3 linked regions of the Macaca fascicularis genome follow. The protein of the gene in region 1 interacts with the protein of each later gene in a biochemical or structural test. Links are inferred from orthologs where the notes say so. Each region holds a gene or a part of one and is shown in the gene's direction. Other genes may lie near its edges.

Region 1 (4,358 bases):
GGATTGGTGGATGGGTGGATTAGTGAACTGGTAGATGTGTGGATGAGTGGATGGATAGATGGATGGATGGATGGATGGATGGATGGCTGGATGGATGGATGGCTGGATGGATGGATAGATAAGTGGATGGGTGTATTGGTGGATGGCTGGATGGATGACTGGAAGGATGGATGGGTGGATGAGTGGATGGGTGAATGGGTAGATGGCTGCATTGGTGGATGGGCAGATAAGTAAATGGGTAGATGGGTAGATGGGTGGATGGGTGGATGAATGGATGGATGGATGAATGGAGGGATGGATGGATGCGTGATGGGTGATAGGTGAATGGATGGATAGGTGAATGAATAGATGGGTGGAATGGTAGGTGGGTGGACTGGTAGATGGGTGGATGAGTGGACTGGTAGATGGATGGATGGATGAATGAAGGGATAGGTGGATGATGGATGGGTTGATGGACAGATGAGTGGATGGGTAGATGGGTGGATGAGTGGATGGGTGGACGGATGCATAGGTGGATGAATGCATGAGCAGGTTTATAGATGGATAAACAGATGGAATTGTGGACTGATGGACTGATAGTAGGTGGACGGGCTGATTAATGGACATATAGATGGCTAGACAGACAAGTAGATAAGCAGATGGGTGGGTGGATGAATTGACTGACAGATGAATGAACAAATATATGGAGAGTTGGATAAATGGACAAATAAGTGAATGCATGGTGGGCTTGATGAATGGATAGCTGGATGGACAAACAGACAGACAAACAGATGCACGGGAAAACAGACGAATGGTGGATAGGCAAGAAAGGTTTGTAAACTAGGAAGGTTACATTCATATTCAGGCATTGGCAAGGGATGGGGAAACTGAGAAACCTGGGCTGGAAACAGAGCCCTAGGGATTTGAATGTGGTACTCAAGAAGCTGGGAGGGAAGGGTATAAGGACCCAGGACCCTCTTCTAGTGGAAGAGAAGCCCATGTGAATAGACTCAGAGGGAAGGAAGAAAGGAAGAAAGCAGCAGTGTGCTGAAGACCCTACCCCGGAGCCCAGCCTCAGCCGAGGGACAGCCTGGGCAGTGGGGGTGCAGGGCCACAGGAAGAGGCAGGCCTAGCCTGCCAGATCAGAGCCCTCACCTAGCAAGGCTGACCCCAGAAAGTGGAGGCCCCAGGAGGCCACCCCTTCCAGCTCTGACCCCAACAAGGTGACTGTTGGCTACATAGGGATCTCAAAAGCAGCAGACATTTGTTGGGTTAGAGCAAAAGCCTCCCAGTGGTGTGGCGGAGCTACACGTTCTCCCTTCCAACCTCCCTCCCCAGCTTAGCCCCCAAAGTCATCCCTCTCAGTCGCAGCTTCCTCTGGGCAGGGGGCCTGGACCCCATGGCTTCCCAGGCCAGCCCTTTGAGCACCACCTGCCCCAGCCGGCCAGAGACTTCCTGTATGTAGCGCAAGAGATTTATGCAAACGGGTTGGGGCGGTGATGTCACCCCAAGGGGACTATCTCCCAGCGGCAGGCCCTTCGATAAAATCAGGAACTTGTGCTGGCCCTGCAATGTCAAGGGAGGGGGCTCACGCAGGGCTCCTGTAGCTCAGGGGGCAGGCCTGAGCCCTGCACCCGCCCCACGACCGTCCAGCCCCCGACGGGGCACCCCATCCTGAGGGGCTCTGCATTGGCCCCCACCGAGGCAGGGGATCTGACCGACTCGGAGCCCGGCTGGATGTTACAGGCGTGCAAAATGGAAGGGTTTCCCCTCGTCCCCCCTGTGAGTACTGGGACTCCTCCACCAGCCCAACCCGTGGCCCTCGGACGCCTGCCTGCCTGCCCATGAACCCGCCAGCCCACCCGCTGCCCTCCTGGCTTGCTATCAGTGGGAAGTCAGGGTTTCCTCCCTGGAACTCCTGGCCTGAGACCCAGCGCGGGGGCCACTGGCTTCCTCGGAGCATGCCCTGGCGGGCTGAGGCCGGGCCCATGGTGGGGCTGTGATCGGTGGGGCCTGAACAGTTATTTATAGACAGGGCTTGGGTGGCAGGCGGAGGCCGGGGCTCCTGGGGAGGGTGCTGGGCTGAGGATGGTGAGGGCAGTGGTAGAGAGGTAGAGGAGAGAGATGGGGGGACTGGCTTGGAGGAGGCCGATCCCCTGGACAGGAAGGGGCTGAAGGCAGGAGGCAACAGGCAGAAGCCTTGGCCCATGGCCTTGGGGCTCCTGGACACCGAGGCTGATGGAACTCTGGGTCCCCAACACCCAGTCTGGGGCCTGGCACAGAGGACATGATTGTTGACCAAAGGGTCGGGGCCATAGGCCCACAGGGGGACCCACAGGAGACAGGGGCCGGTGCTGGAAAGGAGCCAGGAGTGGAGCTGAGACAGTGCAGTTGAGGCTGGCCCCAGGGCTGGAGTTCAGGGAGAGGCGCGGCAGGGGACAGGGCTGGGACAAGGTCAGGACTGAGATTGGGGCTGGGTGGGACCTGGGGTGAGCATGTGACAAGTTTGAATGGGGGCTGAGGCTGGGACAAGGACAGGGACTGGATCTTGGGGGTGAAAAAGTGGGAACCCCAGGGGACCCTGAGAAGAGAAGCAGATCGCCACTGCTCCTCACTCTCAGTGACAGTTGCAGCCTGAGGCAGGTATCAGACCAGGGTCCCTCTGAGAGGACCCTTCTCCCTTTTCCCACCCCATGACCTCTCAGGAGTAGGGAGGCTTGAGGGGAGCCGGGAAGGGCTTGGCAGGATGCCCTCCTGACTCCACTTTCCTGGCCTAGAGGCAGCTCCCTTCCCCCACCGTGCCCCAGCTCAGAGCCACCCCAGGAGGCTGGGAGTCACCCCAGGCCTGACATCACACCAATCCGACCAGAGTCAGGCTGACATCCTGCATCGAGGCTCCACTACCTGGAAACCCAGAGGGGCAGGCTCAGTGCTGGGCTCCTGGCCTCCTCACTTGGCCAGACACAGGCAGGACCAGGCAGGACCAGCCAGCCCGCTGTGGCATCCACACCCTGACACCCCTTCCCACCTGGGACCACGAAGGGGGCGGCGCAGGCAGAGGGTGATGGAGGTTGTCTCAGGAAGAGCCAATTCTGCCTCAAGAAAGCCACAGGCCCACTGTCTCTGACCCCTGACCTCTCAATCCTGAACTCCAGGTGGAGCTGAACGGGTGGCAGAGCTCCTTGGGCCGTCCCTAGGCCCCCCAGCCCTCTCTGCAAGCTCCAGGGTCACTCTGAGTGTCTCCTGGTAGGGTGGGCTCCCAAGGCAGCCCCAGTCCCCCAAGCCCAGCCCTGAGGGCCACAGTGACTGTTGTGCAATCCTGGGCCACACACTGTGGGGGCGGGGAGGGCTGACGACTGTTGGGAAGGCTCCTGGGTGTGCACGGCCCTGTGTCTGTGCCAGTAGGGGGAGGAGGACAGGGAGGAGGGAGGAAGGGGGGGAGGAAGAGGAGGAGGAAAGGAGGAGGACAGGGAGGAGGGGGAAGAAAAGGAGGACAGAGGGTAGTGAGGAGGGGGAGGAGGAAGCAAAGGAGACAGGGTGGGGGTGGCGGTGAGGAGGGAAGGAGGAGGTTAGGGAGGACTCAGGAGGGAGAGTGAGGGGATCAAGGCCCTCCATGCCCTCGGCCCCCAAGCCTGCCCCGGTGACCCCTGCACCAACCATCATGTGGACGGTCATTGTGGTGCCACTCTTGCCCAGGCTGTGTGAGAGGCATAGGTTGTGACAGTGGGACTGGGCAGGCGAGTGTGTGCTGTGCAGGTGAGTGTGCGGGTGGAATGTGAGTGGCTCTGGGGGTGTGAGTGTGTGTGTTGATGGCTGGAACGTGGTGTCATGTGAGTGTCAAGGAGACTGCGTGTGCGCATGAGCTGAGTGTACAATATCTCTGTGAGGTGGGTGACTTCTGGGTGGGTGTGAAGATGTGTGTGAGAGGAACAGTGTACAGGCGCCTGCATCGGGGTGGGTAGGGGCTATGAGAGTGAGTCCACATGTGGGATTATGAGTGTGAGGGTGTCACAGGGATCGTGTGGACATGTGCATCAGTGTGACCAGAAGAGGGGTGTGGGATGAGGATGGGGGCACACAGGCATGAGTGTGAGTGTGAGCATGAGGTGGCTATGGGGAGTAGCCCAGCAGGGGGGGACCCTGGTCCTCTTCTGACATCTGACCCCCAAGGTCCCTGTCACCCCTTTTCAGGCCTCCCGGGTCCCCTGCCCCACTCTCTGTCCCAATTCTAGGCAGAGGGAGGACTGTAGGCCCAACGCAGTCATTGAGCCAAGGAAGGTGGTGGGGACCCAGCATGCGGGGGTGCTGCAGGCCTGGTTGGGGTCCCCCCACACAGTGCAGGCCCTGACACCTCCTCTCTCAGCAGCCATCGGAAGACC
Region 2 (3,644 bases), on another chromosome or scaffold:
TCTCTGTGCTGTTGGGGAAGCTGTCTACTTGGGTAAGAATGTTCTTCCAAAGGATGTCTTTGGGTGCCCTGGGATGGTTAGGTCCCTAGAGTGGGACATCTTCTGGAAGAGGAACCCAGTGAACTTTGCCCTGTTCTGTAGCTGCTGTTTATTCCCTCACGCTTGTCTCTTTCAGTTGGTCATAGGAGTTGCCCAGGAAGTTTGGATAATAATAATGACATCTGGCGTGTAAGGTCCAGGCCCTGTCTCAGTTGCTTTCTGTATACCATCTGAGTTCTCCCTACACCCAGTACTGGTAGTTTTTCCTGAGTTTCATCTGGGACTGGGTAGCTGATGCCCTGAGATTAAATGCTGATCCAGGGTCTCCCAGCTGAGCCGTGGCAGGACTTGAATGAGATTGCGGTTCTGTCTCATTCTTAAACTCGTGCTCTTATCACTGTGAAGGAACAGCTGTTTAGACGGGCTAGCCTGAGGGCCTCCTCTTTCTCAGATGGCACAGACGCTGTATTCTATCAGGGAATATGGGGCCAGCTGGGCATCCAGTAACCCAGTCAGTTCTTAGGCTAATGGGCTGCTCGGTGAAGAAACCCGGTGCTGTAGAAGTGATTTCCCCTTCCCTTCCAGTCTTGTGCTAAAACTGGAGCTGTTCACTGTGGCTGTATCTGCCTGAAAGGAAAGGGCCAGTGAAAGCTGGAAGGAGCACAGCCAGCACAGTGGGAGGGGCCCGCAGGGGGCTGCTGGTGGCTTCAGGTGGCTGCAGGTTTCCCAAGGAGCTTTCAGTTTGCATTCAGGGCTGTGAGGTCACGGAGGCCAGCATTGCCTTCTCATGGCAGGTGTCCCGGAGTCCCTGAATCTGTGGGTTTCCCCCAAGCCAGCACCTTTGCTGCAAACCTCTGAGTTTCCTGTTAGCAGTTTTTGGGTTGCTGTGATGAATGAGACAATATCCGTAATATCGCAGCATGTGTTTCTGTCTTTCCAAGGATGTGTGACCGAAATGGTGGTCGGCGGCTTCGACAGTGGCTGATCGAGCAGATTGACAGTAGCATGTATCCAGGACTGATTTGGGAGAATGACGAGAAGAGCATGTTCCGGATCCCTTGGAAACACGCTGGCAAGCAAGATTATAATCAGGAAGTGGATGCCTCCATTTTCAAGGTAAAGACCCCAGCTCGCTTCCTCTCTGTGGGCACAGTGTCTCCTTTCCCCCATGGACTGGTGGAGATGTTGAGTGACGTCTTTCTCATTTACTTAAAAAGTAATCCAGTTTTTAAAAAAGCAAACATTGGTTCAGGAGTGCAGAATGTGTCTCAAAAATGTACATGAACTGATATCACGTCTCTTGAGAGACAGAGTCACTTTTGTGGTCACTTGTATTCTGATGAGGGGGTCGAAGCCTCTTTTCTTCCCTTTTCTGCCGTTTCCTTTTCCTGATGAGCCAAGTGGGAGAAAAGACTTCTTGGAGACCCTCACACTAAGACCTTTTCCCGCGGGCTTCCGTCAGAGGCGATGCATATACCAGGGAAGGTTTCAGTCCTTGTTCTTTCAAAGCTGATACTTCTGCCTGGCATTGTAGGGCCAGCTCAGGAGGGTGAGATGCCATCTGTCATTCCTTTGGGGGCTGGGTCGTGTAGGGGGTTGTGAACCTGCAGCAGATGTCTAAAACTGGTCTCACCTCCCTTGAGAGTAATGAGTTCCCCATGTGTGGAGAGATGTGATGGAGGGTTTGTTCTGTGCCAGGCCTGGTCCACGGCTTGTTTTCTGCTCACACGATCCTGTGTGGTAGATGCTGTTCCCACCCTCATTCTATAGAGGCGCTGAGAGGAGAAGTGACTTGTTAAGGTCTCACAGTTCTTGTATGATGGAGCCAGCATTCAAATGCAAGATGGCCCAACTGTGAACCCTTGGTCCTAACTCCAGAATAGCTGATCAACAGAGATTTCTTGCCATTACACCTAGATTCAGACAGAGGAACCAGGAATTGGGGCAACCCAGCTCTGCAGACCAGCTGGGCTATTGAGTTCCTTGTGGGTCATCAGAGTGCTGTGTGGGCATCCCTAAGGCTCCAGATGTCCAGGTTTCACCTCTGGGAGATTCGGAGCCCTAGGTCAAGGTCAAGCCTAGACTTCCACGTTTGCAAATGTGGACACTACACGTAGACTGAATCATAGCCCAGGTTATAAGCCATTGCCATGTGTGCTTATTCTCTTGCATTTGGGGGCCAGGGATGGGGAGAGGAGAGTGGGTGTGAGAGAGGGGCAAAGGGGGCTGAGTTGTTGGGGGCCAGAATCAGACCTGAGACCACAAACAAGGTGTGGAGGGAGTCAAGGCTGTAGGACCCCATGACAGTGCTGGACTCCCAGCCACAGATGACGATCCCCTGACACCAGAGAACAAAAATGACAAAAGATCACACCTTAACTCCAGAGTGGACCATAAATAGGTCAAAGGCGGCTTAAGATGCATTTTGGTCCTGCACATCTTTGCCTGACCGATGTTTGCAGCGGGGCTGTGCATTTCAGTAATTATGTTAAATCTGCAATTTGAGGTTGCTGGTCTTCTTGAGAATCTGATGCCCATTACTGACCACTCCAAGGAATATGGGGACAAGGGAATGCTTTGCACTCACCTTCGAGGGGGTCCCTTGGTGCCCCCACATCTCCAGATTCTTTCTGATGAAGAACCCCAGGTCAGGGAGCCTCAGCACCAGTGAATTTTGTGATACCACTGCCTGCTTCCTCACCCTTAGTGCTGTTGTGGATTTCTCTCTTGTTTGATTGCAGATTTTTTTTTTTTTTTTGCCTTTGGCATCATGGTGACCTTCTCTTGGGAAGGACTGCAGATTTAAACAGTATCAGAGTCCCATCCAGTCGATTGGGAACTCTGCATTATAGATAACCCCAAAAGCCAGAATTTCTCTGCCTTGCCACTGTTGATGCCTGGGTCTGGGCAATTCTTTGTTGTAAGGGTTCCCTAGGCCTTGTGGGATGTTTAGTGGCATCCCTGGCCTCTACCCACCAGGTGCCAGTAGCATCCCCTTCCCTACTGTCACAATAAAAAATGTCTTGTACATTGCCAAATGTCTCCTGAGGGCCAGAGTCTTCCCCTCCCCATTGAGAACCCTGATAAGAGCTGGCCACTGCCAGGATCAACAGACTTAACCAGAGGTGTTGGGTGTTGAGGGCACAGTTGCAAGTTGGACATCAGTAAAACATCTTTAAGACATGGCACAGGGTGCTGGACTAGGCTGTGTAGCCCTGACATGTGGCTTGCTGACAGAGACTAAGCTTCTCCCTTCACCCCATTCCCTGCTTCAACTTGTGCTCGGGGGGTAATGAAATAAAGCCCCAGATTTATACATCTTATGCAATGTTCTTCATGGCCGTTTCAACAGTGTTGAGAAAAATGTGCAAGATTCCCAATGTTTCCGTTGGTTACGCAGTCGCCTGATGTGGCAATCTGAAATGAGTCTACAATCTCAGCAGGAATGGGGCCAGGAGGGAGACGCGGGTGCCCACTGGAGCAGGGAGGCCGTCGGGAGGGCCACCAGTGCCACTGGAGACATGACACCAACAAGAGCCCATCAGGTGCTTCCCTGAGCTATGCTTGTTCCCATCCGTCCTCTGAGAGGCCTGTCTCTGTGACGT
Region 3 (3,644 bases), on another chromosome or scaffold:
GTACCACCCGTAGCCCAATTCCTAAAGAAATATTTGGGTCCCAACTCAAGGCTCTGTTGTCCTGGGGAAGGACATCAAGATCTGAGTGTATGATGGTGTGGGGCCTTGCATGTGGTGGGGATCCAAGCCTGCCTCTGCCCACTTGTTCTGCAGACTGGCATGTTCTCTGTGATACTTACATACTTGTTTAACACTTCAGGGAAGAAAAGTCAGAAGACCAGGATCTCCAGGGCCTCAAGGACAAACCCCTCAAGTTTAAAAAGGTGAAGAAAGATAAGAAAGAAGACAAAGAGGGCAAGCATGAGCCAGTGCAGCCATCAGCCCACCACTCTGCTGAGCCCGCAGAGGCAGGCAAAGCGGAGACATCAGAAGGGTCGGGGTCTGCCCCGGCTGTGCCGGAAGCTTCTGCCTCCCCCAAACAGCGGCGCTCCATCATCCGTGACCGGGGACCCATGTATGATGACCCCACCCTGCCTGAAGGCTGGACACGGAAGCTTAAGCAAAGGAAATCTGGCCGCTCTGCTGGGAAGTATGATGTGTATTTGATCAAGTAAGTAAGAGCAACTCCTGCCTCTATAGGGCAGGGAGGGCAGGGACAGGGGTTCAGAGGAGTGAAGAAGCATGTTTCAGTTCTGCCCCTTAAATGATCCCAAAAAGGTTAGCAGTTTTCAGATGACATTTGCAGACAGCATCATTTAATTCCATAACCCTGAGAAGGGTGAGCAAAGGATTATCTTATTGAAACTGATTCCTGGAGAGACTGACCACCATACCTGAGTTCAAAATTGGGTATGTTCTAGATGGTGACTCAGGCCCAGGCACCAACCGGCAGAATGGGCCTCAGCCCAACAGCCCTTCTGTACCAGACCTGACTCTTTGGTTGCTGGACTTTGGAGAGGCCTGGGGGGGTCAGCGGCAGGCAGACGAGTGAGTGGCTTTGGTGACAGGTCCTCAGGGGCAGCCAGGCAGTGTAACTCTTGTTCAGTAGTAACGTTTATCAGAGTGTTGTCACCAGCATCCGCTCTGCCCTATCTCTGACATTGCCATGGAGAGCCTCTAATTGTTTCTTGTGTCTTTCCATTTGTCCCCACAGTCCCCAGGGAAAAGCCTTTCGCTCTAAAGTGGAGTTGATTGCGTACTTCGAAAAGGTAGGCGACACATCCCTGGACCCTAATGATTTTGACTTCACGGTAACTGGGAGAGGGAGCCCCTCCCGGCGAGAGCAGAAACCACCTAAGAAGCCCAAATCTCCCAAAGCTCCAGGAACTGGCAGAGGCCGGGGACGCCCCAAAGGGAGCGGCACCACGAGACCCAAGGCGGCCACGTCAGAGGGTGTGCAGGTGAAAAGGGTCCTGGAGAAAAGTCCTGGGAAGCTCCTTGTCAAGATGCCTTTTCAAACTTCGCCAGGGGGCAAGGCTGAGGGGGGTGGGGCCACCACATCCACCCAGGTCATGGTGATCAAACGCCCTGGCAGGAAGCGAAAAGCTGAGGCCGACCCTCAGGCCATTCCCAAGAAACGGGGCCGAAAGCCAGGGAGTGTGGTGGCAGCCGCTGCCGCCGAGGCCAAAAAGAAAGCCGTGAAGGAGTCTTCTATCCGATCTGTGCAGGAGACCGTACTCCCCATCAAGAAGCGCAAGACCCGGGAGACGGTCAGCATCGAGGTCAAGGAAGTGGTGAAGCCCCTGCTGGTGTCCACCCTCGGTGAGAAGAGCGGGAAGGGACTGAAGACCTGTAAGAGCCCTGGGCGGAAAAGCAAGGAGAGCAGCCCCAAGGGGCGCAGCAGCAGCGCCTCCTCGCCCCCCAAGAAGGAGCACCACCACCATCACCACCACTCAGAGTCCCCAAAGGCCCCCGTGCCGCTGCTCCCACCCCTGCCCCCACCTCCACCCGAGCCCGAGAGCTCCGAGGACCCCACCAGCCCCCCTGAGCCCCAGGACTTGAGCAGCAGCGTCTGCAAAGAGGAGAAGATGCCCAGAGGAGGCTCACTGGAGAGCGACGGCTGCCCCAAGGAGCCAGCTAAGACTCAGCCCGCGGTCGCCACCGCCGCCACGGCCGCAGAAAAGTACAAACACCGAGGGGAGGGAGAGCGCAAAGACATTGTTTCATCCTCCATGCCAAGGCCAAACAGAGAGGAGCCTGTGGACAGCCGGACGCCCGTGACCGAGAGAGTTAGCTGACTTTACACAGAGCGGATTGCAAAGCAAACCAACAAGAATAAAGGCAGCTGTTGTCTCTTCTCCTTATGGGTAGGGCTCTGACAAAGCTTCCCGATTAACTGAAATAAAAAATATTTTTTTTTCTTTCAGTAAACTTAGAGTTTCGTGGCTTCAGGGTGGGAGTAGTTGGAGCATTGGGGATGTTTTTCTTACCGACAAGCACAGTCAGGTTGAAGACCTAACCAGGGCCAGAAGTAGCTTTGCACTTTTCTAAACTAGGCTCCTTCAACAAGGCTTGCTGCAGATACTACTGACCAGACAAGCTGTTGACCAGGCACCTCCCCTCCCGCCCAAACCTTTCCCCCATGTGGTCGTTAGAGACAGAGCAGTTGAGAGGACACTCCCGTTTTCGGTGCCATCAGTGCCCCGTCTACCACTCCCCCAGCTCCCCCCACCTCCCCCACTCCCAACCACGTTGGGACAGGGAGGTGTGAGGCAGGAGAGACAGTTGGATTCTTTAGAGATGGATGTGACCAGTGGCTATGGCCCGTGCGATCCCACCCGTGGCGGCTCAAATCTGGCCCCACCCCAGCCCCAATCCAAAACTGGCAAGGACGCTTCACAGGACAGGAAAGTGGCACCTGTCTGTTCCGGCATGGCTAGGAGGGAGTTGTCCCTTGAACTACTGGGTGTAGACTGGCCTGAATCACAGGAGAGGATGGCCCAGGGTGAGGTGGCATGGTCCATTCTCAAGGGACGTCCTCCAGTTGGTGGCACTAGAGAGGCCATGGAGGCAGTAGGACAAGGCACAGGCAGGCTGGCCCAGGGTCAGGCCGGGCCGAACACAGCGGGGTGAGAGGGATTCCTCGTCTCAGAGCAGTCTGTGACCGGTAGTTAGGGACTTAGTGGACAGGGAAGGGGCAAAGGGGGAGGAGAAGAAAATGTTCTTCCAGTTACTTTCCAATTCTACTCCTTTAGGGACAGCTTAGAATTATTTGCACTATTGAGTCTTCATGTTCCCACTTCAAAACAAACAGATGCTCTGAGAGCAAACTGGCTTGAATTGGTGACGTTTAGTCCCTCAGGCCACCAGATGTGATGGTGTTGAGAACTACCTGGATATGTATATATACCTGCGCTTGTTTTAAAGTGGGCTCAGCACATAGGGTTCCCACGAAGCTCCGAAACTCTAAGTGTTTGCTGCAATTTTATAAGGACTTCCTGATTGGTTTCTCTTCTCTGCTTCCATTTCTGCCTTTTGTTCATTTCATTCTTTCAGTTCTTTCCCTTCCTCTGTCCTCCTTCCTAGTTCATCCCTTCTCTTCCAGGCAGCCGCAGTGCCCAACCACACGTGTCGGCTCCAGTCCCTAGAACTCTGCCTGCCCTTTGTCCTCCTGCTGCCAGTACCAGCCCCACCCTGTTTTGAGCCCTGAGGAGGCCTTGGGCTCTTCTGAGTCCTACCTGGCCTGTCTGTGAAGAGCAAGAGAG

The links.
Region 2: the proteins of SPI1 (region 1) and IRF8 form a complex in vitro, tested with the Homo sapiens proteins (3 studies listed by BioGRID). The link is inferred for Macaca fascicularis from reciprocal best matches to the Homo sapiens genes SPI1 and IRF8.
Region 3: the proteins of SPI1 (region 1) and MECP2 form a complex in vitro, tested with the Homo sapiens proteins (2 studies listed by BioGRID). The link is inferred for Macaca fascicularis from reciprocal best matches to the Homo sapiens genes SPI1 and MECP2.

The regions. Positions count from the first base shown.
Region 1 is NC_088388.1:18,465,588-18,469,945, forward strand, and holds the start of SPI1 (transcription factor PU.1), read left to right. Parts: upstream 1-1,549; 5' UTR 1,550-1,716; coding exon 1,717-1,761; intron 1,762-4,342; coding exon 4,343-4,358. UniProt on the Homo sapiens protein: Pioneer transcription factor, which controls hematopoietic cell fate by decompacting stem cell heterochromatin and allowing other transcription factors to enter otherwise inaccessible genomic sites.
Region 2 is NC_088394.1:81,800,721-81,804,364, forward strand, and holds part of IRF8 (interferon regulatory factor 8), read left to right. Parts: intron 1-980; 5' UTR 981-981; coding exon 982-1,155; intron 1,156-3,644. UniProt on the Homo sapiens protein: Transcription factor that specifically binds to the upstream regulatory region of type I interferon (IFN) and IFN-inducible MHC class I genes (the interferon consensus sequence (ICS)). Can both act as a transcriptional activator or repressor.
Region 3 is NC_088395.1:160,098,827-160,102,470, reverse strand, and holds part of MECP2 (methyl-CpG-binding protein 2), read left to right. Parts: intron 1-199; coding exon 200-550; intron 551-1,093; coding exon 1,094-2,177; 3' UTR 2,178-3,644. UniProt on the Homo sapiens protein: Chromosomal protein that binds to methylated DNA. It can bind specifically to a single methyl-CpG pair. It is not influenced by sequences flanking the methyl-CpGs.